2 linked regions of the Saccharomyces cerevisiae S288C genome follow. Changing the gene in region 2 together with the main gene of any one other region gives a genetic interaction. Each region holds a gene or a part of one and is shown on either strand. Other genes may lie near its edges. The genes, in order: MLH2 and SFM1.

What was found.
Region 1: mutations in SFM1 (region 2) and MLH2 together harm fitness more than expected from each alone (negative genetic interaction), as found in Saccharomyces cerevisiae (one large-scale study listed by BioGRID).

Annotation. Positions count from the first base shown.
Region 1 is NC_001144.5:211,869-223,213, forward strand, and holds MLH2 (mismatch repair protein MLH2), read right to left. Parts: upstream 2,589-11,345; coding exon 501-2,588; downstream 1-500. Other genes in the region: putative divalent metal ion transporter SMF3, read right to left, coding at 1-65; YLR035C-A (gag-pol fusion protein), read right to left, coding at 3,572-7,039; YLR036C (uncharacterized protein), read right to left, coding at 9,653-10,264; seripauperin PAU23, read right to left, coding at 10,817-11,191.
Region 2 is NC_001147.6:360,425-377,398, reverse strand, and holds SFM1 (protein-arginine N-methyltransferase SFM1), read left to right. Parts: upstream 1-3,959; coding exon 3,960-4,601; downstream 4,602-16,974. Other genes in the region: AHC1 (Ahc1p), read left to right, coding at 1-1,387; DDL1 (putative carboxylic ester hydrolase), read left to right, coding at 1,542-3,689; MCO10 (Mco10p), read right to left, coding at 5,442-5,714; HSP10 (Hsp10p), read left to right, coding at 6,555-6,875; YOR019W (uncharacterized protein), read right to left, coding at 7,080-9,272; ROD1 (Rod1p), read right to left, coding at 10,517-13,030; PET127 (Pet127p), read right to left, coding at 13,585-15,987; ERP4 (Erp4p), read left to right, coding at 16,315-16,938. UniProt on the Saccharomyces cerevisiae protein: S-adenosyl-L-methionine-dependent protein-arginine N-methyltransferase that monomethylates ribosomal protein S3 (RPS3) at 'Arg-146'.

The sequences.
Region 1 (11,345 bases), on a different chromosome or scaffold from region 2:
CTGACTAATATCCCTGGCCCAATAAATTTGGCAAATTTTTGAAGAATCTGCATATAAGATCGCATTTTTTTTCTCTTGTGATGCTACTACTGTTATCAATTAGCTTGGAAGAACGATATATTTAAAGGAGTTCAGAAGGAAATAATAGTTTGGGTATGACAACTGAAAAAAAAAATGAACTAATATATAAAGGAACCCCGTATATTTATGTGGAGTGATCTTTGTCTTCTAGCTCCTTTGAAATAAATATTCAATTATGCAACCTCACAGAATCAGATGAATGAGATATATACAGTATAAATACCTTTAGTCGCATGACAACAGGATGTCGTAACAATGCAATATTAGAGCATTTTTAAGTTGACCCAAAACGGAAATTTCAAGGTGCGGAAACTGGAAGAGAGGCAGGGCGGGCAACAGGGTGCGGTTACCATGAGTTACAAACAATGGTCTATTATGAAGTAATCTATTGTGCTGAGTGGTGATAGTGCACCCGATCATCAGGGGCTGTCTGGCGTGAAGAGGCACCATTCATTTGTCGTGGCTTCAATGTGTCCCGGTTTCTTCACATGCGCTCGCAAGGCTTGCAAAAGACTGGAAGAAGGGCTTGTGGCATCGTCCCTCGATCGTAACCACAGAGTTTCTTTGGCAAAGTTATCGCTGTCATGCTTAACAATTTTTTCATTCTTCAGGGTATAGACGTAGTTGTTGGTATACTCGGAAAAATGCATGAGTTTCGGCCTTGTTTTGTGCATGCAGGATGCTTTCTTTATATAATTATCAGTTACTTTTTTTTTCGAATTTCGTGGAATGGTCATGTCCACGGTATTGTTTCTTTTACCGTAGGTTTGCTGAAGCTTTATTAGTTCCTTTTTTTCTGTATTTGAAAGCTGTCTTTCGTTGGGCATTCCCCTTTTATTGGCATCTCCACAGCTAGTACGTTTGGCCTCAAGTAAGTTTTCGCTCAGTTTCTTGTTGACGTTTCTTATTTTTGTGATCATAAAAGGATTAGAAATAGAAGCGTCCTTAGAAAGTTCTAAATCCTCGTTCTCTGGAATAGTTTCTATATAGTTATAAGTTAATGACGAGGGTAATGTTGAGGATCCAGCTCCTGCTACTTCACTATTTTCGCTTAGTTCTTGTTGGAAATTATGTCGCCAATTAGTACTGTCCTCGGAAGCCATAGACCCGGAACTCGAGCTTCTATAACTTGAAATGGTCAGCTGAGTTTGTTCGTCAAGAGCTTTATCCTCGCTAAATTTTGTAGGTGAAGGAGTAGCAGCGACAATGGTCGTATTCTCTAAGTTTGCTTCATCGTAAAAAGTTGGTACTATCAAATCTGAGTTTTTTTGTGGGATGTCAGTCTTGTCTTTACCACTAACAGCACCACAGCCCTTTGATATTTCATTCTCTGCGTCGGGTGTAGGTATCACCAGTGCGGGAGAAGTTTTTTCGTTGATAGAAGGCTGAACATGTTTATCTCCCAGCATATTTGTTTCGATGCCAATTCTCTCCTCCAATAACAACTTTAACTTATTCTCTATCTTCTTAAATATCACTTCAAAACTTTTGATCATCACGTCATTTTTCTCTGGTTCGATATTTACGTCAAGAAGCTTTGTATCGCAATTTAAATTAATAAACCAAACCATAGGATCTAGTAAAGAGAAATCTCTATAGATTGACGATAGTAACTTAGAAATAGTCTTCCCCGTCTCCAAGTTCAAAGATAGCGCTCTCTCATTAACAGATAAAAATTTAAATCGTCTCTTTATATTAATAACGTCAGATTCTGGCACCATCCTCGGTAAGATCAAATCTAAATTTATTTTTTCGTCGATAACAAAGTTTTCTTCTACAATAAAGTTCAGCGGCACAGGCTTTTTTAGTCTAGCTAGTAGGGACAAACTTCTAGCTCTAGAAATCTTAGGGTCTAACGTTTCTTGCATTTGTTTACGCTCTATGGCACCATTTTTTTGTAATGACACCAACGAAAAATAAAACCGAATATTTCTATGAATTAGAGAATAATGGTTTATTAAATAGATTAGTTCATCGAATGTTTTTCTTGGCCTCGAAGAAATTTCGAGATACCTTGCTCGTAACCCTCCCAGAAGTTTCCTTAATATTACTGTAGTCCCCACGGGACAAGATACCTTGTACCTTTTTCCATTGGTAATACCACCCTTACTATCAACTAACCATTTTTCTCCAATGACATCATCTGCAGTTTTTGTTTCAACCTGCATTGAGCCTTTCTGGTTACACAAGTTTGACAAAAGAAACAATGCTTCACCTCTGAATCCAAGAGTAGTCAGAATCGAAATATCTCCGAGACTACTCATCTTTGATGTGGTGTATTCCAAGCACATAGAAGGTCTGTCGATAATATCCACACCTGATCCATCGTCCTTGACTGATATATATTCACATCCTCCCGTAGTGGAATCTACATCGATGAATACTTTTTTAGCACCCGAATCGATGCTATTATCTAATAATTCCCTTACAGCAGCTACCGGACCGTAAATAAAGGAACTAGAAACAATCTTCCATTGGGATTCTGGAGATAACTGATGTATAGTCATCCAAAACTATGAAAAGGCGTCTGTTCCTCAAACCGAGATGATGGGATGTGAAATAACTTTATATGTTTATAAAAGTGATTACTTTTTCTTGTATGGGCGCCAAAAAAGGGCCATGTATATGAGGGATATGGACGACAGTGAGATTATTTAAATAGCAAAGACTACAGTAAAAGCAAAAAAGCATTGTGCCAGGGCAATATAGCGAGCACTACTTAAACCCAAATTAGGTGACAAGTGAAAGGTTTGTTATGCGCAAAACTTATAGATAATGCAGAAGGTAATCTTTTCTGCTGTACTATATGTTCACATTGCAGTGTTACGAATAAATATAAGGATATATAGCTCTGCTTAAGGGGTTTTCTTGGAATCGAGTCGAGTTATTCTAGAAATTGTTAAAAATAAAGGAGAATAAAAGTAAAAAATAAATGGACGCAACCGGAATCGAACCGATGACCTCTTCCTTGCAAGGGAAGCGCGCTACCAACTGCGCCATGTGCCCTAAAACGCGTACAAAGGAGAGGAAATTATTTGACTACTTAGTACTGTTTTCATAGGTAAACCCTCCACTGTGGCTAAGATGAGTGTTATTCTTCAACCTCATAGAAAGCACGCATGTTACTTTCTGAGATATATGTGGGTAATTAGATAATTGTTGGGATTCCATTGTTGATAAAGGCTATAATATTAGGTATACAGAATATACTAGAAGTTCTCCTCGAGGATATAGGAATCCTCAAAATGGAATCTATATTTCTACATACTAATATTACGATTATTCCTCATTCCGTTTTATATGTTTATATTCATTGATCCTATTACATTATCAATCCTTGCGTTTCAGCTTCCTCTAACATCGATGACAGCTTCTCATAACTTATGTCATCATCTTAACACCGTATATGATAATATATTGATAATATAACTATTAGTTGATAGACGATAGTGGATTTTTATTCCAACATACCACCCATAATGTAATAGATCTAATGAATCCATTTGTTTGTTAATAGTTTGAATGTTTTTATCGGAAGAGGTTTGGTCATTACGTCTGCAATATTCTTTTTGGTTTCGATATAGCATACGTGCAGATGATTTCCTGATACTTCATCTCTTAGTCTCATTGCTTTAGTACCAAAAAATCTGTTTCTAAATTTCTCTTCATTATTGGATATAATTATACTGATTGTAGATTTACTGTCGGTTAGTAATCCTTTAGTAATTGGTTTCTTGTTAAGTTCTTGCACAAGGTGACTGAGGTTATTTAATAATGGGACAGATTCACTTATCGCGTGTATTTCTGCTTCCGTAGTTGAAGTACATGTTAATGAAGCCTTGGTGGACTTTCCTCCAATTACTTTTCCATTAAGTAAATATATGTTGCCAATTTGTGATTTATAATACGGTTGGTTACCATACGATGCATCGCTTATAACAACTAATTTATTTGTTGGCTTAACAGGTTTGCTTTTGTGCCATATTAATTGCTTATCTCTCGTATTCCATATGAACTGTATCAATTCATATGTCATATCTAACACTTGCTTGGACGGAAATAGTATATGTTGTGCAAGTGTGTTGATGTAGTATAATAGGTCAAATCTAAATTTATATCCAACATATGATGCTAGACCTATCAGCTTTTGCATTTCATGTACCTTCATTTTGTAATCATCTTCTTCTAGCTCTAGTTCTTGCTGGTCTATATATAGACCTGGTTGACCTGGAGCGCTAAGTTTCCTTCCTTTTGGGTTCAAAGGTACGTTTAGTTTGGGTATTTTTTCAGTTAATGAGTTTTCCATACCTAATTTCATGTATTTACCTCTTTGATATTTGATTTCTAAGCCAAGTATGTCGTACTGAATTTCGTTATCACTTTCACCCAGATTTATTATCTTTGTATCGTATTGTTTCTTGAGTGTTGTTATGATTTTCTTATTTGCATTTAAGTCTTTGCTGAACAATATCATATCATCAACGAATAAGCAAATTGTTACTTGACTATTCTTAAATACGCATGACCATCCACGAACTTCTTCCATACCACACTGTTTTATCAGGTATGATTTGATAGTTTCGTACCAGTTCGCTCCACTTTGTTTCAATCCATAAAGTGATTTCTTCAAACGTATTAACTTATCATTCATTCCTAAATGTGGTGGAGGTCTTATGTATAGTTCTTCTTTGATGTCTGCATACAAATATGCCGAAGATATGTCTAATTGTGTAATATAGTAGTTATTGTCTGATGCAAGTGACAGGGATGTCATTAATGCATAGTGATGTACGGTATTGGATTGCATGCCTGGGTCGTAAGTGTCAGGATGTTGAATATCACCTCTTGCAACAAATCTAGCTTTATGAGTACCGCCACGTTTCCTGTTAAAGATAAACATTGAATTTATTACTCTTTTGGGGTCTATTTCTTTTCTGTCATAATATCTGTCAGTGTCCCAAGTTTTCATCTTCAACAGTTGATTGACTTCTTTGTGGTATGCCTGGATATATTTTTCTTTTTCTTTAATATCTTTATTATAGGTGATTGCCTCATCGTATCGTAAGGTAGTTCGTATTGGTTTGATTGATTTTACTGCTTTTACAGCTGCAATCAGGTGAATTCGTTTCTTCGATCTCGGAGGTTCTAAACTACGCATATTCTTAGTATTCCATGTGTCTCGTGATACCTTAATTTCAGTTTCATTATCTTCTAATGATCTTTTCTTACTGTTGATAGTAGTATAGGCATTAGAGTCACCAATACCACCCAAACTGGAATTAGTTTGATGAGAATTTATCGGTGGGAGTTCTTTAAAGGAGTCTGATAATTCGGTAGGAGGTTCTGGAGGCAGATCGGGGAGTGGAAGATCAGCGATAATAGATTCCTCTGTATTCTCCTTAGGACAGGTATCTGACGTTTTGATAGGAACGACGTGGTGTAGTGAATTACTTTCTGATGAGGAAGTATCGATCGAAGGTGAACGGTGTATGATCCTTTTCTCAGTCTCCTGTTCGCTTGTCTGCGGAACAGTTTTATTATTGGTACCACCCGTACTGGATATTGGTACGTTTGTATGATTAGTCTCATTGTCACTGTACGAGTCTGAGTGTCTGAAATCTTTAGATTTACTGGCGTGCGACGACTCATGTGTGTTAGATTGGGACATGGGAGCAAGTAAAGGAACATCTAATCTATGCATACCACCCGAACCGGTACTCTCGATATCGGAAATTTGGGGGGTGCTAGATCTCTTCTTAGATGGAAGAATATTAGATTCAGATATGTTGGGGTCAACTTCTCTGGGTGCGCGAATATTGGTTTTGGAAACACGTTTCGAATCTTCAGTATGAGTTGACGGAGGTGTGGAATCGGTTGGACTCACAGCTTTTGAAAGGACATTTCTCGGTTGCTCAGGATGTAGTTCGATGTCAGATTGGAAGTCATGGTCAGATTCTATGTTAAGATCATCGGATTGTTGGATCTCATTTGACGCAATGAACGATTGATATGAAGCAGTTAAACGGTTTAAGTCTTCATCGAAAGTGAGTGCGTCGTAATTGAATTGATCTAATCTGGATTCCTTGCCCTGAAGAATAACATAGTTAGTTGTATCTACTGTCTTCTTTAAGGATGGAAGATAGATGATATATCCATAAGAGTTTCGAGACGGATGTAGAGCGTAGCCTGGGATGCCACGAGGATGTATTTTGGAGTTAGGGTTGTGATCATTGACGATAACAGGTTGACCGAAAGGTAACAAAGTACTGATATCAAGTCCTGCCAAGCCAGCATGTTGTCTTGCAGATTTTTTGCTTTTAGGTGAAGCTAGTGAATTTCTCACAATAGTAGAAAATTCGATTGCAGAGAACCATAAATGGTTCGGTAAACCACTACATTGCAGTTGAGTACGGCAGTCATCTAATAAGGTACGGTTGAGCCGTTCAGCGACTCCATGTGCTCGGGAATCCGCTGTGGTTGTATAGCATGGAGTTATACCATTTTTTTCAAGGAATTTATGGAGAGTTCTGTTAGTATACTCAGAACCACGGTCCATTTGTATAACCAAGACACTGGCCTGAAACTGGTTTTTAATAAAAGCTAGTATCGTAGTAAAAACATCGAGGATAGAGTCCTCGCGACGGTCGTGTAATGGATAAACCCAACGGAATTTTGTTGTCTCATCAGTAAATGAGATGAAATAGGATGGTGCACTTTTTGGTAGGTTGTGAACTGGACCAAATATGTCAGTATGTAGGTATTGAAAGGGTTCGTATGAATTTTGGTATTTTAGTCGTGAACCTTTGATATGTCTGTGTTTGGTGCTTTTGCCGATTAAACAATCAGGACATTGATAGTCAATAGCACTAGACCAGTCGACATCTGATTCGTTAAAATACGTGATGGTGTTATTTTTAAGTGAGTATCGAATTGTCTGTGCATTGGCATGCGCAAGCATTCGATGAATGAAAGGATAAGGATATTTGCGTGTACTTTCACTTGTATGGACATTATTGATGGTGGGTACGGAGATATTTGATGGAAGCAAGTACTTTTTAGATACCCAGTAAAAGTCTCCATATTTTACGATAGGTGCAAGTACAGTGCCGTCAGACCGTTCTAAGACGTTTTTGGTAAAGCATGCTGTGATATCTACTGCAGCCAATTCATTCAAACTGAGTAAGTCATAGGCTATGTTAGGAGTGTGCAATACCTTTATTGATGTTTTGGTGTTGTCCTGGAAGTGAAATTGTAGGTCACCAATAGCGTTAATTGGTATATTTCTTTTTTGAGCATCAACTACGTTTATGTCAGGATTAGATGATGCTGAGTGTATGTGATGAGCAGATCTTATAAGGGTTCGTGATGCTCCTGAATCGAGAAGGAGGTGTCCAGGGAGTTCATCATCAGAATGATTAGTATGATTTACTGTAGATTCAGTAAGTTTCTGGCCTAAGATGAAGGTCGTGCTTATTGTTCAATTGAATCGGTTCAGTAGTTGATTTACTGATGGAATCGTTGTCCGTGCTGGGAGAGTTATTAGATGTGGATACATTGTGAGCCCTGGCTGTTTTCGATTTCGAATTATTTGTTTTTTGAGGATTCCGAGCTATAACTTTGGGTTTGGTTGTATTCGTATAGCTGCGAGAATCATTCTTCTCATCACTCGGATTTCTCCTGTAATTAGGTTTGCTGTTTCTCGATCCCTGTTGTTCTTCATAAATAGCATGGATATCTAAGAACAGTTCAGCGACTGTCATATTTAGATGTCGATGACGTGTGTAGCGTAAAAATTTATATTCGCCAGATAGACCTCTCATAATTAATTGGCATGCGACCTTGTTATTGATATGAATGCCATTATTGTTCAGTCTGTCGATAATGTTTGTGACTTTTGTTTCAAATGCATCTGCAGGTGTACTGCCATTATATTGCAAATTTGCCAGGGTCACAATGTCGTTTGCCTCTTGGGTATCAGATTGCATTTTTTCAATACTTTTGGAAAGAATTTTCATGATATCCGTATAATCAACGGATAGGATGTCTTTGACCCAGGTAGGTAGGAATTGAGAGGGAGCAAATATTTGAAAAGTGTTATACAAGAAGGTGAGTTCATCATCAGTGATCTGACGTACGGGTTTTCCGTTTACTGTCGGAATAATACCACCGAGATTCGAGTTTTGTAAAAATTTGATGTATGTTTTAACCCAATTTGGAAAATCATTAGGTGAGGTTAACATTGGTGGTGGTCTGACATATTTTTTAGTGGATGTCATATCAGAGTCCGCTGAGGATGAATCAGTAAATGTATTACCTGACTCAGGTGATGGAGTGCTCAGAGGCGTTCCAACTGATGATGGATACTGCGGAAACTGTGATTGTGGCCCAGGTGGAAAGTACATAGGCGACATTTGATAAGGTGTATACGGAATCATAGATGGGTGTCCGTAAAATGACCAACCAGATGGATTGGCTTGGTTTTGGGTCATCATGCACTGCTGTGGGTACGGCCCATTCTGTGGAGGTGGTACTGAAGCAGGTTGAGGAGAGGCATGATGGGGGTTCTCTGGAACAGCTGATGAAGCAGGTGTTGTTGTCTGTTGAGAGTTAGCCTTAGTGGAAGCCTTATCATATTCTTGAATTTTGGAAGCTGAAACGTCTAACGGATCTTGATTTGTGTGGACTTCCTTAGAAGTAACCGAAGCACAGGCGCTACCATGAGATATATGTGGGTAATTAGATAATTGTTGGGATTCCATTGTTGATAGAGGCTATAATATTAGGTATACAGAATATACTAGAAGTTCTCCTCGAGGATATAGGAATCCTCAAAATGGAATCTATATTTCTACATACTAATATTACGATTATTCCTCATTCCGTTTTATATGTTTATATTCATTGATCCTATTACATTATCAATCCTTGCGTTTCAGCTTCCTCTAACATCGATGACAGCTTCTCATAACTTATGTCATCATCTTAACACCGTATATGATAATATATTGATAATATAACTATTAGTTGATAGACGATAGTGGATTTTTATTCCAACACTTTCATACGTAACGGGGGTAATATTACTAGCTGTTAGAATAAGAGTCAACGATCATAATTGACTAGTAACGCAAATACTACTAAACAGATGATGTTTTAGAGTTTCATTCTAACAAATTGATAATGTAGTAGAATAATGAATGACAAAGTATAAAAGAAAGGAAGACAAAGTGATTTTATTATCAGAACTATCAACTCCCTTTCGTGAATTCCAAGACTGTTGAGGAGAACTTCTAGTATATTTTGTATACCTAATATCAACAACGAAATCCCAACAATTAATACGAAGTTCACCCATTTTCTGATAATTGTTACGTGCAAATAATAGAACTACTTTTGTCGAGGTGTAATCTCGTATTCAAACTATATAGTAAATTATTCTCAATGGTCGAGTAATGCAAGAAGATGATATTGAATACTTTGCGTAACTTTACCAATTATCCAATATGCAACAGTAAAATGATACCTTCACATTTCAAGCTAATTCCAAAATAATACATATTAGGTAAAATCCTCAATTTAATTGCCCGGTTTTACCTTCAGACATCGCTCCCTTTCCATTGACACATCTATACCCTTCAATGAACCCGCTATGTAATATCAACGCATCGTAAAAATAGAATAATAATGCAGTAGTACATATCCAGCCTAGCTGCAATCTAAATAGCTGTGATAGTCGGTGTAAATTAATAGTTTGGTCAGTTTTAAAAAAAAACCTAATTTTGGTACAAAAGTAGAAGCTGAAAGCAGTCATTGATACCAATAACAAATACTTTAGCTGAAACCATTTAGGATACTTTTTTCTGGCAGCACAGCTGGGACATACTACCTTCGAACATCTCTTTGGCTTTGTTTTATTTTCATTTTTAAAATGACCGTTCTTTCGATATAAAAAGAAAACTATAATAACGAGGGAAATTGTTACCGCCCCCAGAATCATATCTATGATCTTAATGATGATTGCTTTTGGGTACTTTTCAATCAAATTATCTACTGATGGCACCATAAAACAATTTATAAAATAAAGGCTACAAACGGCCTTTGTTAATTTTTCTATAATTAATAAGGAATTAGACTTTGGGATCTCATCTTGGCTTTCTGTCGCACTAAGTTCTGCCTCTTTCATTATTTCCTATACTTTGAAGGAGAAAGTAAACTTTAACGGCAAGTTCCTGTCTTAACTACCTTTTAGTTCTCGTGTGTTGTGAAGGGCCTTTGAGGAAAAACTCGAAAGTTTGTTCCGTACTTTTAAACTTTCAATTTTTTACCAAAAAGGCTATTTACCGCTTTATGGGAAGATCATGGCAAGTCAAATCCACGTTAAATGGAACAAGATTAACTTGCCACAGATCAAATGCTGAATTGAAGAGAAGTTTTAAGCATTAAGATTCTTAATATGATCATTAATATATCAGTACGTGTCTCAACTGGAATCGTATAAGGTTCTTGTAAGTACAAATTGTATGCAGAAATTTAAATGCGAGAACAAAACTTGAATCTCCCCCCGCATTTAAAAAATATCTTTTTGAACACAGTGCAACTGATTAAAAGTACCTGTAATACATATATATGTTTGTATACGTATGTATATCTAATTATTTCTTACCGTCAAATCATAATTATTTTTATCCGTTCGTAAAGCAATCCAGTGCTAAATACCAATTGTGAGGCCATCGGCTTAGTTTGGAACAGCAGTGTAGATACCGTCCTTGGATAGAGCGCTGGAGATAGCTGGTCTCAATCTGGTGGAGTACCATGGGACACCAGTGATGACTCTAGTGACTTGATCAGCGGGAATACCAGTCAACATAGTGGTGAAATCACCGTAGTTGAAAACAGCTTCAGCAATTTCAACTGGGTAAGTTTCAGTTGGATGAGCAGCTTGGAACATATAGTATTCAGCCAAATGAGCTCTGATATCTGAGACGTAGACACCTAATTCGACCAGGTTAACTCTTTCGTCAGAGGGAGATAAAGTAGTGGTGGCTGGGGCAGCAGCGACACCAGCAGCAATAGCAGCGACACCAGCAACAATTGAAGTTAGTTTGACCATTTTTTTCGATTGAACTTTTGTAGATCTTTTTAGTGAAGATGTGAGCTCACTCGAATGTAAATAACAATGCCAAATTGTCGGAAAGAGTTAATCAAAGCTGCTCTATTTATATGCCGTTTTTTAATAAGCGACGGACGAACAGATAAATTGTTGA
Region 2 (16,974 bases):
ACTAGCTCTCTTGGAAACCCTGCATAAGGATACTGGTCTATTGAACAAAATCGAACGGACGTATCAACTCAAAATAAAACAACATCAGCAGCATAGCGTGCTCGGCGGCCACTTTCACGACAGTACGGCTACGGAAAATACGAACGCATCAAATTATAACCTGTCATACCCGGTTCTATCGGATTATAACATCAACTGTCAGCCTTTGTCTTCGAGCAGCAACAGAAATCTGTCAACAACACGCATACCACACCACCATTATCATACTAGAAGCAAGAGTAACGGGCTTTTGCTAGAACCTTCTGCCCTCCGTCCGGCAAATTCGAATATAATTGATTACAGGCTAACAGGTTCTAAATCTCTATCAGAAGCCATAACCAAGCCCACTCCCGTCTCGCTTCCTCACTCTAATTCGGATGGCATTTCTTCACCTCGTTCCTCCTCAATCTCCCCCTTAGACGAGCAGCCGGGGTTCCAGATACTCCCTTTTAAACCAAGTCAGATGCATCTTAACCACAGACGTAATTACAGTAGCACTTGTTTGACGAGCAATAGCGGTATCATCGGTAAGACTGAAAATAATGAGCCCATTTTTAGAAGATATGACGGCATTTTGGTTATAATTACGTGCTCCAAATGTGACCGTTCCGGTTTCACTTCCGCGCAAGGTATCGTGAACCATACTCGACTAAAACATTCTAAACTATATTCAAGCCAACCATTGGCAGTTTTAAACAACCAAAAACTACTTCCTAATGATAAGCAGGATCCGGAAATTTTATCTAAGTTCAAGAAACTAAATTTGGACCCAAACAAAGACTACCTACCCTCTGACATTGCAATCCCAAAACCACAATCACCAATCAACCACTCCGAGAACCATACGCGGGCTCCAAAGACTGTCAAGAACACTCCTCATTTAGAAAAACTATACCAAAATAAAGAAGACTTCAAAAAACTGATTGACATGGTTAATGAAACTCCGGATGATTTGAATGAATATTTGAAGCAACGTGAAATTCAATTAAGATATCAAAAGGAGCAAGAAGAGGAATCTTCCAAATCTGATGACGAAGCTTCTTACGTCCCATCACCGTCTCTCTCAGCAACGGCTACAACAACAACGACTACGGACCCACCCTCTCCGCCAGTGCTATCCTCCTCCTTACAAAGAAAATTGCTGCGTAAGAGAAAACTGAGCTTGAATAGCTCTACTCCCATGGAAGATTTACCTTTAAGAGAAAGGTTGAGAGCAAATCCCACTGACAAGAAACCAAGAAAAGCGGCCCTTTTGACTAATGAACTTGAGGGTCCTGATCCTGCAGCAAAATCATCATCTTATTACAATCTAAGGTCGAAATCAAGACTGCGTGGTTCTCATACATAGTACACACATATAAATAAGTAAATTACGTAATATAATATTCTGTTGGTTTTCTGACCTAATTTGTCGCTTTGGAAGAAAAAGTGGATTGTATTTTTTTGCATATTCCCTAATATTGAAGATCACTGAATATACTCACAGTGAACAATTACTTGAAATGCTACGGTTTACTCATCGAGGCCTTCCCTCCAGCACTCGTTTTAGAAACATTTTCGTAAGGTTAAATCACATTTATGTACCATGGTTCTATGCCATAGACGTACCCAACTCCAAACCCTATTTACCCACATATCAAACTTTACACTCACCCAAAAAGTTTAAGCCGTTCTCCGTTGATGATTCTAATCGTTTGGAAAAGGCCAGTAAGCGTCAAGAACGCAGGCCTGTTTTAGTCAACGAAGATTACCTGTTTAAAGTCGACCTCTCTCACATGGAATTGTCCCCTACCTATTGGGAAGGCCCTACTTATCAAGTACGAAGAGGTGTGTGGTTCGACTCTTCAAATCAACCTTTGTCCAGTGATCTTACCTCCGAAATTGAAGGGTTGTATAAGCAGCTCAAATTCGACGACAGTAATGATGATCCGACCACGACACCTCCTGCAGAATCGCAAGATATATTTAGGCTCAAAGGTAAATACCCAGTCGATAAAGAAAACGAAGGAGAGCAAAAAAATGGATCCAGCAATAAAGATGAGAACGAATCTACTTTCAAGTTTATTTTGTTTGCCAATAAACAAACTGCATTTTTACTATCGGATTTAGATGGAGGAAAACTGCAATTAGCCTTTCTAAGGTCTAATCTGGCTCAATCCTTACCGATTAATGCTACAATGATTACAAGATCATACAAATATTCATCCTCCGCAACTACTAAACAGACATCCACATCTTTTAAGGCAGCAAAAACGCCTCAAACGGAAGTAGCAGATGGTAGTAACAGTTCCAAATCGAGGAGCATTGAAACAAAGTTAGAAAAGAAAGTTTCAAACCTCTTCAATTTATCGGACTTTTTACAGTTGTTCAATGGTAATGCTAGTAAAGATCAAGATGATGCACAGAGCTTGGAAAAGCAAATGGAAACAGACTATAACAATGCAGATAACAGTCAAGGCGCTAATGCTAGTAGCAAAATAGAAGATGGCAAAAATTCGGGCGCAAGCGATAGACAAATTAGAAGTAACAGAAGAGATGTGGATAACTTGATACTATGCGTTCACGGTATAGGTCAGACTTTGGGTAAGAAGTACGAATACGTAAATTTCGCACACACGGTAAATCTACTTAGGTCTAATATGAAAAAAATCTACAATAATTCTGAGAAACTACAATCATTAAACACAGCACCTGATTATAAAAGCAACTGTAACGTTCAAGTGCTACCCATCACCTGGAGGCACTCGATAAGTTTCCAAACGGATGCTAAGGAGGAAAATATAGAAAATCCTGACCTACCGACTTTGTCACAAGTCACAGTAAATGGAGTGTTACCCTTGAGGAAGCTACTGGCTGACGGTCTACTAGATATTTTGTTGTATGTCGAACCATACTACCAAGATATGATTCTACAACAAGTAACCTCTCAATTGAACAAAACATATCGGATTTTTAAAGAATTTAATCCAGAGTTTGATGGGAAAGTCCATTTAGTGGGCCATTCGTTGGGTAGTATGATATTATTTGATATTCTATCCAAACAAAAAAAATATGAATTAGAATTTCAAGTAGACAACCTGTTCTTTATTGGCTCACCAATTGGATTGTTAAAGTTAATTCAAAGAACAAAAATTGGTGACCGTCCCGAATTTCCCAATGACTTGGAGAGAAAATTAACCGTACAGAGACCGCAATGTAAGGACATTTATAATGTTTACCACGTCTGTGATCCCATTTCTTATAGGATGGAACCTCTTGTTAGTAAAGAAATGGCTCATTACGAACAAACTTATTTACCACATTGTAGTGAAGCTTATGGACTAACTTCTAAAGTTTTGGAATTTGGCGAAAACATATGGAAAGATTTGCCAGGTACTGATGAAAATAATTTGCAGTCCAAAAAAACTTCTCCAGAAAAAAAAGAGGTCAAGTTATCAGAAAATCTTACGAGAATGCTTACAGGTTTGAATTACACCGGACGTCTAGATTATGCTATGTCTCCAAGTCTGCTAGAAGTGGATTTTATATCAGCTATAAAATCACATGTTTCTTATTTCGAAGAACCGGATATTGCAGCGTTTATCCTAAAAGAAATTTTAAGTAAACATGAAAATGCATCAGAAATATATGTAAAAAGAAAGACTGGTTGATCAGTAAACGCAAGGCACAAGTTTTTTTTAACTTTTTTCTTTACTGTCTATTATAGTTCCACTGTGTAAGGTTGTATTCTTTCCGTACTTCAACTTGCGGGTAACAGGATTGACACCTTTTCAATTTTTTCCGTTATTTTGGATTAGAAATTTTCGGTAAGCTCATCGAGTATTGTAAAAGAGCAATGCCCTTTGCTTATTAGATGTTGAGGGGCATATCTATTGTTAATATAGATTGATACAGCTGTGGAGATTATTTCTAGATATACGATGAAGTACATTATTGAGCATATGGAGGAAGGGTTTAGTGAATGGGTCATTTTAGAGTATAGCCAAATCCTGAGAGAAGTAGGAGCTGAAAACTTGATTTTATCATCGTTACCAGAGAGTACCACGGAAAAGGACATCCCTCAAAGGCTACTAAAACTTGGTTTAAGATGGACTACAAAGGATTTGAAGGGCATTAACGAAGATTTCAAGGATTTGGAACTGTTAAAAGATGGCAGAGTCTGTCTATTGGACCCTAGGGCTACAATCGATTTACAGCCGGAGGATGCTACGAAATTCGACTATTTCGTATTTGGTGGCATATTGGGTGATCATCCTCCAAGAGATCGTACCAAAGAACTAAAGACTGCCTATCCGAATCTTTTAATTAGCAGAAGACTAGGTGATAAACAAATGACTACGGATACTGCCATAAGAACAACACAGTTGATTATCAAAGACAGGATTGCATTTGAAGACATCAAGTTCATTGACTACCCTGAATTTAGGTTCAATAAAAATGAGGCCACGGAAATGCCATTTAGATACGTTTTAGATAAAGAAGGTAAACCTATTTTGCCTGAAGGGATGTTGGATTTGATCAAGAAGGATTCTGCTCAAAGTTTGGACGATCTGTTGATGTAGATGAGAACAGTCCTTTAAGTAACATTCTATGGTTGTAATAAGTGATGATGCTTCCTTGTCAAAGAGTTAGTTGAAAAGTTTAGGGTCGTAGCATTAATTATATTGTATATAGTTCAAAAACGACATTCAATGAAAAAATCAAGTTTATTAGCCAATGAATATTTCGTATTTTGCGTTAGTAGCGCTACCAAGACTTCTGAAAAGTGCATGCAAGAAAAATAAAAACAAGGAACCGTTTACTTTTATGATATCATCATTGTCAGGCCAAATAGGATAAAATTGATTGGTTGTATTATGCTTTTTAATTGAAAAAAAAAGTAGAAACTTTTATTATTTTATTTAAATTAATTTCTTTACATTACTTGCATCTAAAACCAAACGAGCTGGTGACTTCAAGCACTGCACTAGTTGCCATGGCTTTGCTAATTCAGACGACCCCCTTGAGGTGAAAAAATAGTCTCAGTAATGAAACAATCATAGGCAATTAGTTCGATTTTTTATAATTATCTTCCAGCCTTTCAAATATTGAAAGGCCATCAACTATCACTTACACCTGAGTGTTGTCATTGATCCGTAAAGTAAAAAGAGGCAAGTTTTGTGCATATTCGTATCATGCACAATGGCCTAAGGCAAGTATTTTCAGTGTTTTTTTTTTTTCATTGCCGTTTTGCTATTCAGAATATATTGAATTATATGTATAATGCATACTTAATAGAAAGAAGGACGCTAATTTTCGTTATAGAACAGTAGTTTCAAAAAGTGCTTCAAGTTTATAGAAATCAGTGCATCCCTTCACTGAACGATGAAGAACACCACCATTTCAGAAATTTTTATACATAATCAGTTGGCTTTCGTATCCTGCCTCGTATCTTTCTCTAAATCATTTAAAAATCCTTCAATACTCTTTACGACATCATCGTCCTTTCCCATAGCATCTGAGTTTGAACTTTCACCGCTTTTTTGTTGGCTCAAGGCAGAACTATTCTTGCCTTCATTTTTGGTTTTTGGTTTCGTGGTAAAGTAAGATGCCACTGCAGCAGTAGCGATAAACGTAGATATAGCCAATACGTGAGGTTGAACCGTCTTCCCAAATACTTTGTATGCAGCACCCATTGAGATAGCTATATTTATTTTTGTATATCTTATGTTTAGAAACAGTAGCGACCTTTCTTACTTGTTCCTTCAAAACTTGACTTAGATAACTATTTACCCTTAAACCGTTAGCTCTGTATTATGGACTGTGAAATTACACCTCGTTACCCGAAGTTCTATTATATTTTCAATCCATACTCCTATGATCTCTTCATTGGGAAAAAAAGGTCCACTTTCTCCTGGATTGCTCGAAGGCTTTCCGTAAAGAAAATACCTTTTATTTTTCTTTGCTTTCTTTCTCCATTAAATAGTAAACGCCTCTTTCTGAGGCAGCTGGCTAAAAAAATGTAACAAGGAATTTTATTTTATTACGGTTCAGCAAAGGCCGTAACGATAGTTGTATTATTTTCGTTCATATGTAGCAGCGATGGTAGCATTTTTTATTGTATAAATTGTGGCTTGCGTCGATTATCTTATTATGCCACTCATAATAAAAAGTTACTCTCAAAATGTCAATATTCAATAATGCATGTCTGTCTTTTTAATTTAGTACATACGTAGGATTAGGTATTGGAAGCAATCATAATGAGTTCTAAAGTTGTTATTTCTCACTTATTGCACCTCTCGAAGTTCTCTCATTAGCCGCCCAATTCTCATTCGTGTGAAGGTCATTAACGGGGTAATGCCCGTCATCAATGATAGAAATTTCTAGAATCTTGAAGGAATGGGAAAAAGAAGCTTGATTATGTATAAAATTAGTCAAAACGCTTATACAGTACAAACTTATTATGTGCTAGGTTTAAAATAATTTCTGATAGAAGCCATTGATCGAAAATATATTGAATCTACAGAAAAAAAAGAATGTCCACCCTTTTGAAGTCTGCTAAATCTATCGTTCCATTGATGGACCGTGTCCTTGTCCAAAGAATCAAGGCACAAGCAAAGACAGCATCCGGGTTGTATTTACCTGAAAAGAACGTGGAGAAGTTAAACCAAGCTGAAGTTGTTGCCGTAGGCCCGGGCTTTACTGATGCTAATGGTAATAAGGTTGTTCCTCAAGTTAAAGTTGGTGACCAAGTTTTGATTCCACAGTTTGGTGGTTCTACCATTAAATTGGGTAACGACGATGAAGTTATTCTTTTCAGGGACGCTGAAATCCTGGCTAAGATTGCCAAGGACTAAGAATGATGTCTTCTTCAACAGAGATTTTATATACATACTCTATATGTATGTACCTGTAAATAGGCCATTATGTATGACAGGAAAAAAAAATAATTGAACTCAAATTTCTTCTGCTATTCAGTTGCTGCCCCCAATTGTCTGCTAATAAAATTGATCTATTCATCAATAGGAATTTTAGGGACACTATGTGTACAAACTATCCGCTCATATTTTGCCGAATAAGAACAATGATTTCTTCTTTTTTTTCTTCTTCTTTTTCTTGTCGTTACGATCATCACTTTCAAAAACATCGCCACTGCTACTATTCCTTCTACTGGATGATTTATTTCCAGAGGAACTTCCACTTTTAAACACCTTAAAAATCCCAACTCCACCCCCAGTGAAGGTGTTCACAGTACTAAAACTAGACGAGCTTTTCTTTGACCCTGCACTACTTGAGGAGTCATTAGTTTTGACTTTTCTTAACGCACCGGCACTTTTAACTTTCCTCAAAGGAATGCTATTATCAACACTACTGCTTTTATCAGATGGATCAAAGGAATTTTCTTTGTCGAAGGAAATACTGTGCCTTATATCAGGCAGATTTCTGGCTTTGCCAAGGGCGGCTCTTCCATCTTTGTGTTTTACAGAGGTTGCAAACTTGATTTGGGACGTAGGCGAGCTACTGAGTTTAATAGTTGTTGTGGTATTTTGTTCCTCTGAGGAAGAATATGGTATTAAAGATTTTCTAAACTTTGTGTTTTTCGACCCATTGCCTATCAAAGCATTCTTAAAGCTGGAAATTTGGTCACCGTGACTGGACTGCGATACATTTTTACCAGGCAACGTCTCTATCGCTAAAGAAGACTTCAATGACTCTCTAATTATGATATCAATTTTCTTCAACAAAAGTTTTTCCTTAGTACATTCTCTATCTTTCTCATCGTCTTGTAATTTTTCTATATCACCCGTGATCTTCCTTCTTGAATGCTGGGCGAGACCGGTCAATTTTCTTGGAATGGAATCATTAGAGGTGTTGAACTGCTTTTTGATGTAGCCTTGCCTTTTGAAATCTTCGGCGTACGAATCTACGGAAATATGTGAAGAAATATCTGATATTGTATTTTTTTTGAACATTGAACTGCTCATGCTCTCAACGTCAGTGTGTTCGTGCTTCATATGATTTTTTGAGACATAATGTTCATTTACTTCTCTTTGTAGATTCAGTTCGAACGAATACATTCGTTTCGAGGGAACAACAAATGTGGGAATCGGATAACTAACAGGAAAGACATCTGTCAGCTTTTTGGATTTATATGTAATAAGATTCTCATTTCGCTCGTGCTTTAAAGTAGCAAGAACTAAGAAATCTGGAGTATGGACATTAATGACATCTACCAGACTTTTTTTAATTTTGCCTACAATTATTTCTAAAGTAATTTTGACGGATATTTTGACCACTTTTACTAGCTGTAAAATATAATCAAAAATGTCGTTTAATTTTTGATCTATTACTTCTTTTTGATATCCCGGTGCCCATTCTGTATCATCTTTTGCAGTTTTTTTCCTGTTAGAAATCATTTTTGGCAGTGTAGTTATGACAACAATGTGATCAAGATTTCGTGCAAACTTGTAGACTGTCCAGTCTAGGGCAACCCACGTATGTTTTTTTCCGTTAATGTGACAAACTATTGTCTTAGGGTTATTGGGATATCCGACCTTTTGTTGAAGTATTTTATGCTTTCTTTTTTGTTCTTTTGTACATGGTGCACTATCATCTCCTCTATATAACGGTTTAATACGCTCTTCAGAGAAGATAAGTTCTGGGTAAGTAAACCATTTTTTTTTGTCATTCAGCCTTTCATTTATTTGTAGTTTTCTTTGGCGCCATAACTTTATCCAGTTCTTTTCAAACCTGTTTATCATCAACGTTTCGTTGACAATTACTGGCGTGCTTGGATAGTCTCTCCTCACTATTTTTCCATTCTTGGATACCAAGAAATATTTTTTGATGTCAGAATTCTTTTCCAACAACTTTGAGGATCTCATTGGAAAACTACTGGATTCAGATTTGTTCTCTTTTCTAGTATTCAGAAAAGGTGATGATTGGAATGTATCTCTCAAATAATATTGCAAATTTGGCGAAAAAGAGTCTGTTTCATCGTCATAGCACTCTTCCATCGTGTAATAGTTGGGAACAGGTACACCTTTGAATCCTTCCCTGCTGTCGTCTATAGAAGAATAACCAGCGGTGGAAGGCACTGTGTCAAAGGCAACAGATGGTTGGAAACTGCCTTTCTTTTTGGCCCGTTTTTTAAGGTTTTGTTCATTTCTCTCTTCGAATTGTTGTCCTGGAACATCGAATGTGAGGCTTCTGTAGCATTTTTGCAAGTCATTTTGTGGGCAAACAGAAATCATAATAATTTAAGGTTGACTTGCCAAAAGGGTGCGTGATCTATAGCAAGTTGAATATTAAAAGCCTTTTTAATGAGGAGTCCTTATTTTAATACGTGTTGGATTCGATGTCCTTTCTTTCTGGTCCTATGCATTAGTGTGGATGGTAACGAGACATGAACCCAGAAGGATATATATGTATCTATCTGCAAATCATATTGCTACTAATAATGGTAGATTGCCATTCACAAAAAAGCCGCCCCTCATAAAACTCAGCCGCGCAAGCTTTGAAAAGGGGCGAGCGGCTGAAACAGAACGGTCTTCTAGAAGGCTGATTCAGCAGTAATTAAGACAAAAGCAGTACTACCAGCAAGAACATAGGAGGTGATTGAGTTATTAATTGAGGTACATCTGAATTGCAAGAACTCTAAATATTTTCTTTTGCGATGAAAAACTGATGCTTGTGTGATTAACATATAACGTAATTCATTGAGAGAAAAGAGCAGCTGTGCTCGAGATCAATGAGTTGACTATAAAAATAGCAATTTCCGTAGGATCGCAAAGTTGGCTAACCGTATAAAATGGGAGGATATATACGAATGATGTCTGTGGGATCTTTAACATTTAATTAGAAAATTTTGTAGTGCCAATAATTGTTGAGGAAGAAGTGCCAAGTAAAGAAAAACAGATCTTCTGAAGCTCATTGTATTCTCATTATATTCTCTCAAAAATACGTTCGTATAACTGATTAATCCTGTTTTTCTAATCACTATTTTAATGTTTCAATTGAGGGATTTTGCCTTCATACAATTGTTGAGAGAAATTTTCCAACAAGTATGGGAAATATGAGCAATTCTTATCTTTTAAAAACAAGAACTGGTCCGATATTATTCACCTCAAACATATTGGACGAGATCATTTTTAAAACGTTAGGGGTGGGGAGGATATCAATAAGTTTTCATAATTATGTTAACCTTCAAGCCATAAAACCGAGTAAGACCACTTAACAAAATCTATGAGAAGCCTTGCGGCAGAATCTGACAACTTCAGTGAAATTTTTTTGTGATTATAGAAGCATAAACTACAACGCCGAATTGTTTTACTTTATAGCAATTATGAGGTAGTATTATAACATTATATTATCATTTTTCAAGTGGTATGAGGTATGAAAGTACTCTATCAAAGTATATATGCTTAACTGTACAAACGTGTATGAAGTATTGCTCATATCTTTTTGTCGAAATTTCGAAGACAAAAAATAAAGCAGTCTATGAGCGATCCCGTTTTGTGAACATCTCCATTAAATTAGCAAATGAACCTGTTCCTTGTCTTAATGGTGAGTTGCTATTGTTGCTCCGAACTGACGATGAGCGTGACCTTCGATTGTGGGTTGCGCTCGTATAGTTTTCCTCTTCTCTTGGCTTATTAGCGTCAGATGTAGAATCAGTTTTATCAAAATGTGAATTGTTCTTGGAACTTGAATTACTAGTGAAAGATGTTGTCATATTAAACGGAAAATGTCTGCTTCCTGTGCTGCTTTTTGCTGAAGTGAAAGAGAGATTTAGATTAAATGAACTATCTGTGTTGTTTCTCGCCAACTGCTGCAATGATACTGAGGATCCGCTATTATTCCTTGGTAATGGAGAGTGGGATAAATGTGTCCTACTAGACGATCTTTTCAGATTATTGGAACTCTTGCTCGAGCCTGGAAGTGGCAACAAAGAGGATGTAGACTTGTGATGAAGAATTTGTGGCCTTTCTAGTTCAATTTTTTTATTTTCTTGAACTCCAAGTTCTTCCTCGGGATAAGCCGGTGGAAGATCCTCACCAATCATATCAGATTTCATTGCTTTATCATACGAGGGAACTCTGCTTAAATCTGTCAGTTCCAAATCGTTCTTCAGCGATGTAGAAGATGTTTGGCGACTATATGAGTTACGCCTAGATAAATGTGCAAAGCTTGGTGTCAGTGAAGGACTATTCAATCCAGCATTAATGATGTTATTATATCTATTTGCAGAAGGAGAGTTATTGTTCCAATTTTCACTAATTGTTAGATTACTATTAACCAGATTCAGGTTACTATTGTTAACGCTGTCCCCTCGAGAGTCACAATTATTTAGGCTATCATCTTCAATCTTGATTTGAGGATTTGGTGCCAAAATAGGATTATTGCTATTGTTACTATCCGATATATATAGGTTTTGAATATTGTGAATTGCCTGTGATTCGACGGCACTTGAAGAAGCTGATGCTGAAGTTTCGTCTTCATTAGTTACCTCGCCATACACTCGATCGTAAACGTGATTGCCGTAGTTGGGAGGTACCATCAAACTAGTTACCATAGTTGTGTCAGCGACTGCGGTAGCCTCTGCATCAGTACTATTGATATTTAAAGTAGAGCCAGATACTATGGTTGGCATTGAAGACAATTGTAACGCAGAAGCAGATCTTTGAAAAATCACATCTTCTTCACTATCGTCTACAAAGTTTTTGCTGCTGAATGAATTATCGTGCTGACTTGTTACTTGATATGAGGGTCCAAACGTTTTGAGCGTTCTTTCAATAACATCGGAGGTCTTTACATTGACTGGAACAAACGGTGAAATGAATAATTGGACAGGCAGTGCCGCACGCAATTCTGAAATATGACCGTCCGGATTGAGTAAACTTATAGTGAACTTGATCTTATGACGGACTTTGATATTAGATAAAATGCGACAGTCTTGGGAGCATTTAGTCAGGCTTGCAGGTATGTTTAATAAAGCTCGAACTTCCCATTTATCTTGAAATTCCCCTGTGTCCGTATCAACCCCTTCGTCGGCAGCTTCATTTAGGCTCCTCTTCTTCTTTATTTGGGCAACGTGCTTCAGGGGATCTTTTAGTTTTAATTTAGCCACCATTCTTTCTTGGTTGATAACCCCTCCATAGCTACCACAATACTGGGAATTTTCCACCAAACTGATCCTAACAGGGCCTAACTTCAATCCTTTTAATATAGGAACAATTAAAATATTGATCATGGTGGAAGAGCCAATGGCAATTGCCTTAGTTGGAATGGAGATCGTATAATCGACTTTTTCAGGCCATGAGTTATCCACTGATACTGTTTCAGATAACTCGACTGCATCTATAGCTAACGTTCGAATAACTCTTAGATGTTTTTTACAGATCAAGTCGGGCTGCTTAGGTCTCTCGATAGTAGCTTCCAGAGCATAAGTGACGGCAGCATTTGGTAGGCCTTCTACACTTTCCACTAATGACCCAGGAATAATCGCGCTGAAAGGGAATTCGTAGTTACCTTTTACTAAGGTGTGATAGTTTTTGCTTGCGCTTGTCTGCCCATTACTTGATATCAATGATGCAGTAGAAAGGGCTCTTTTTCTCTTTGGCAATGCTGCTAAATTTGTTGAGGATTTACTAGAAATTGTTATTTTACCATTATTATGATTATCGTACAAGTTTTGGAAATAACTTTTTATATTAAAATCATCCCAAAAATGAGAATATATGTTTCTCTCAAACTTTGAGTATCGCTTATGCGGCCCATGAACAGTTTGTAAAACCGTTGGAATATTTAGTCTCAACCTACCAAAAAGTCTCAAAGCCAAAGACTTGATTTGAATTGGCTCAGTAATTGACAATACTATAGTTCCAGATAGTAGGACAGAAGATGCCTCATCAGGGGGGCCTTTTATCAGTAAAACATCATTGTCCAAATTTCTAAGTCTGATGTCAAATAGTAATGGCTCTTTTGAAGGTCGAGATGATGATGAAAACATTATTACTTATGGAGGAAGAGAAGCGAATGGTGTGATGAAATCGCGTTGATTTCTGTATGGTTGTTAATTAGTTTTAGATCTGCATCTTTTTGACGTCTATATTTGAATAGGGGACCCCTGTTCTGTTTTTTTCGCTTAATAAAAAAACGCTGAAAATTGCAAGAGCCCAGCCATACAAAATAATTTATAAAAACTGTGAACAGGAAGCTTCTCAGTTTTTATCGGAGAACCCATCTCTGGGGTTAGACATTCATCCGCATTAAAACTCCTATTTTTACTCGTAGTTTTCGGTCTTCAAAATAAAGCAGATTCCTTAAAGTTAGATGCTTTTATTCAACTTAATCAGTAATGTAACATAATATGTACCAAGGGACTCGACTCTTTTTGACCCATTGTTTAATTAATATGTGTTATAATTACAAGAATAATGCATTGTATGGACATATCTAAAAATACATAGAATAATTACATAAGGTCGAAAGTTGTGAGTGAATACATTAAAGTAGTAAAACTTCACCTATAACATTAGATTGCCCAACGCTGACTACTGTCTTCTAGATATGGAACTTGTTACTCCTTTCTAATAGTTTTCTTCGAAGGGCACCTTTTTTAGCATATGCGCGCAGTTTAGTTTGCAGTCGGGTAGGGCCAAAATTAGAATATCTTTTGTTACTTCCATTATCGCGGTGATCATTGCGGGCTTGTAGTGATTTGATTCGATTCATAATTTCATCCTTTTTAGACATATCAGGTTCCTGACGTGTGATTACTTGATTTTTCAATGCGTTTAATTTAACATCCAAATATTTAAAGTATAGTTTTCGTAAAATTTGTTTGTCATTGATATCTGTAAAAGTAGAGTTCACCTCCCAAGTGGAAACATCGGAAGCGTGGAAAAAGTTTGGAGTCTGTGTAGATGGTATATCTTTGTACCAGTCTCGTTTCATCATGTCAGAAATATATTTACGGGATTCGGTGTCGAGAATATCGTTCTTTTTTAAAGCAAAATCAGGTAGATGTGTAGTATTAGGATGATGGTGATAGAAATGCTTGACATTTACTTTAAATCCAACTAAGGAATTCAGGTGTTCCTCCAAAAGATTTTCGTTATATGAGCGGAGGTTTAGTAGCTCCTCTGTTAATTGTTCGTTCGAAGTATCCTTTACCAATAAAGATTTATCCTCGTACTCAGGTGACAACGGCAGGGCTACAATATTTAGCACCGGTTCGTTAAAGAAGCGGCCACTTTTGGATCGTTTTTCTTCAACTTCGGTTTTAAGCATTATTTTGCATTTTTCCCATTTCGTATTACTTGAGTTAAGTAACTGCTCAACGTGTTTCAAAATATTACTGAACAGATTCATAGACATCTTAAATTCCCTATTAGCCACCAAGCAAGCAATTTTCCTATCGTCCCTGTCATAGTGTAGAATGTAGTCCTCCTCACCATATATCCCTTTTGTGATATCATTCTTCTCCTTTAACAAACTGTCGAATTTGCTGTTATACGAAGAATGGATTATATAATCTAATTCGTCCAAAGGTAGATATTGGAATCCAAACATCTTAGAAATATTGTGGTATGCAACGAAAATACCGTCCATTTTGCCAATTCTAGCTTGCAAAGAATACTTTAGAAGGGCAGACCTGATTAGTTCAAAATATTCTCTTTCCAAAGACTCAAATTCCCCATAAACTTTATCTATCTCATATCCAGTTTGGTTGTTATTACTCTCTACATGTGATAAATCGTATCTTATGGCAGAAACTGCTCTTGTCTTCAGATCAAATACACCCGTTCCAGGTAGATTTGGGTCGTACGCGTCCAATTGAGATCTCACAATGAATTCATCTATACTAGAATAGTGATAATTTTCACTTTTTGAACTATTCTTCAGGGACTTTTCCGTTAAAAAGTCTTCAAGATAATGACCTAGTACAGAAAGCACAATCTCCCTATCCAGACTTCTATCTGAATCAATAGAACAAATGCCATTTCTCTTCTTTCTCAGAATGACTGCTGACGGAAAATATGCACTTTCTGAATAATTGCAGTTTTTTTGAGGAAAATTTTTCGATATCGAGGAATCAATGATATTCAATCTTCTGAAATTGGATAATAAATAGTGCAACTGAGAAAGTACTGATGTCATGGAACTTGATGAAGATATGTACTTTTTTCTATGTTCTTTGGCAACCTTTAACAGAGATTCATCTTTGTGGGGTGTGATGAATATTGGCTTGCTTTGTCCTTCTCCAGAGGAGTCTGTGTTCACATCTTTTTCACTTTTCTTTTCCAAATACTCTGGATTAATATTTTCCACTGCAGGGTCAAAATTATACATTCTGCTCCTATTATCTCTCAATTTTTGTAGCGACAACGGTTGGTATAACACTCTCGTTAATCCATGACCAATCCTAGGAGGCTTTTGGTTGTGTTTTTGAACACCATCTTGATTGTAACGTACTAATGCGTGCCTAATCTTCTGGACATTTATCCGAAAAGTGTATGAATTGCTATCTGAATATGTTCTGCTAGCGGGATATGTTCTCCTAGCGGGATATGTTCTCCTACCAGGATATGTTCTTCTACCAGGATACGTTCCTACCTTTGTCCGCTCCAAATACTTATCATGTCTATACTCCTTCTTTATATTTGTTTTCAGTAGATTAATCGCCTTGTCCATTTCTTCCGTATATTTTTGTCGACCTCCCTTTTCCTTGTTTCCAATGTCCTCTACAGTCGAATTTGTGTCATATATTTCATCGACCATCTCTAAAGCACTATGCAGGTCAGAACGTAGCTTGTCTGGTGTTTCTCTTCCACTAGGGGCATTTGTGAGAGCAGCGCCAAAGTGATAAATCGATCGCTGTTGATAGCTTTTAGCGGCGCTACCTATTCTGCAAGGCTCAACAGATAGACGTCTGGACAGGAATCTACAGTTGTAGAACCCCATTATCAAAACTATAAAAGTATCAGGTAGCGTTTGGCTCTTTTTTGTGCTCTCTCAAGTGCCCTGTTTATATTATATTTTTACATATTTGTTTCTTTATTAACCAACGGCATTGACGGAAACGCGCTTTATTATGGACTACTTTTTTTTCACTGTTTCCTGTTTTTTGACGTGATATACTCAAAGATGAGCGATTGACGATCTGAGAATTCTATTTGGGAACTCTTCTCTGCTTTGAAGACATTTATTTCCCAGCTGCCTTTGAAGTAGTTTCACGAGCGCTAGTGAAGTTTTTTCATAAATATATATTCCCAATCATCGCTAGGAATTATGCGCGTTTTTACTTTGATTGCGATTTTGTTTAGTTCATCTTTGTTAACACATGCATTCTCCTCTAATTATGCTCCTGTAGGCATATCATTACCTGCTTTTACCAAAGAATGTCTTTACTATGATTTATCCTCTGATAAAGATGTCCTTGTGGTCAGTTACCAAGTTTTGACAGGTGGGAATTTCGAGATAGACTTCGATATTACCGCCCCTGATGGCTCTGTTATCGTCACTGAAAGACAAAAGAAGCATTCTGATTTTCTACTGAAGTCGTTTGGTATAGGTAAGTACACTTTCTGTTTGAGTAATAACTACGGCACTTCCCCAAAGAAAGTTGAAATCACCCTCGAAAAGGAAAAGGAAATTGTTTCTTCCCATGAAAGCAAAGAGGACATAATCGCAAACAACGCCATCGAGGAAATTGATAGGAACCTGAATAAGATCACCAAAACAATGGATTATTTAAGGGCTAGAGAATGGAGAAACATGTATACTGTGAGTTCTACTGAGTCAAGATTAACATGGCTCTCATTACTAATTATGGGGGTAATGGTTGGTATCAGTATAGTGCAGGCATTAATTATTCAGTTCTTTTTTACCAGTCGCCAAAAAAACTACGTATAGGTTGCTTTTCAAGCTCTTAAAATTGTTGGATCAGCT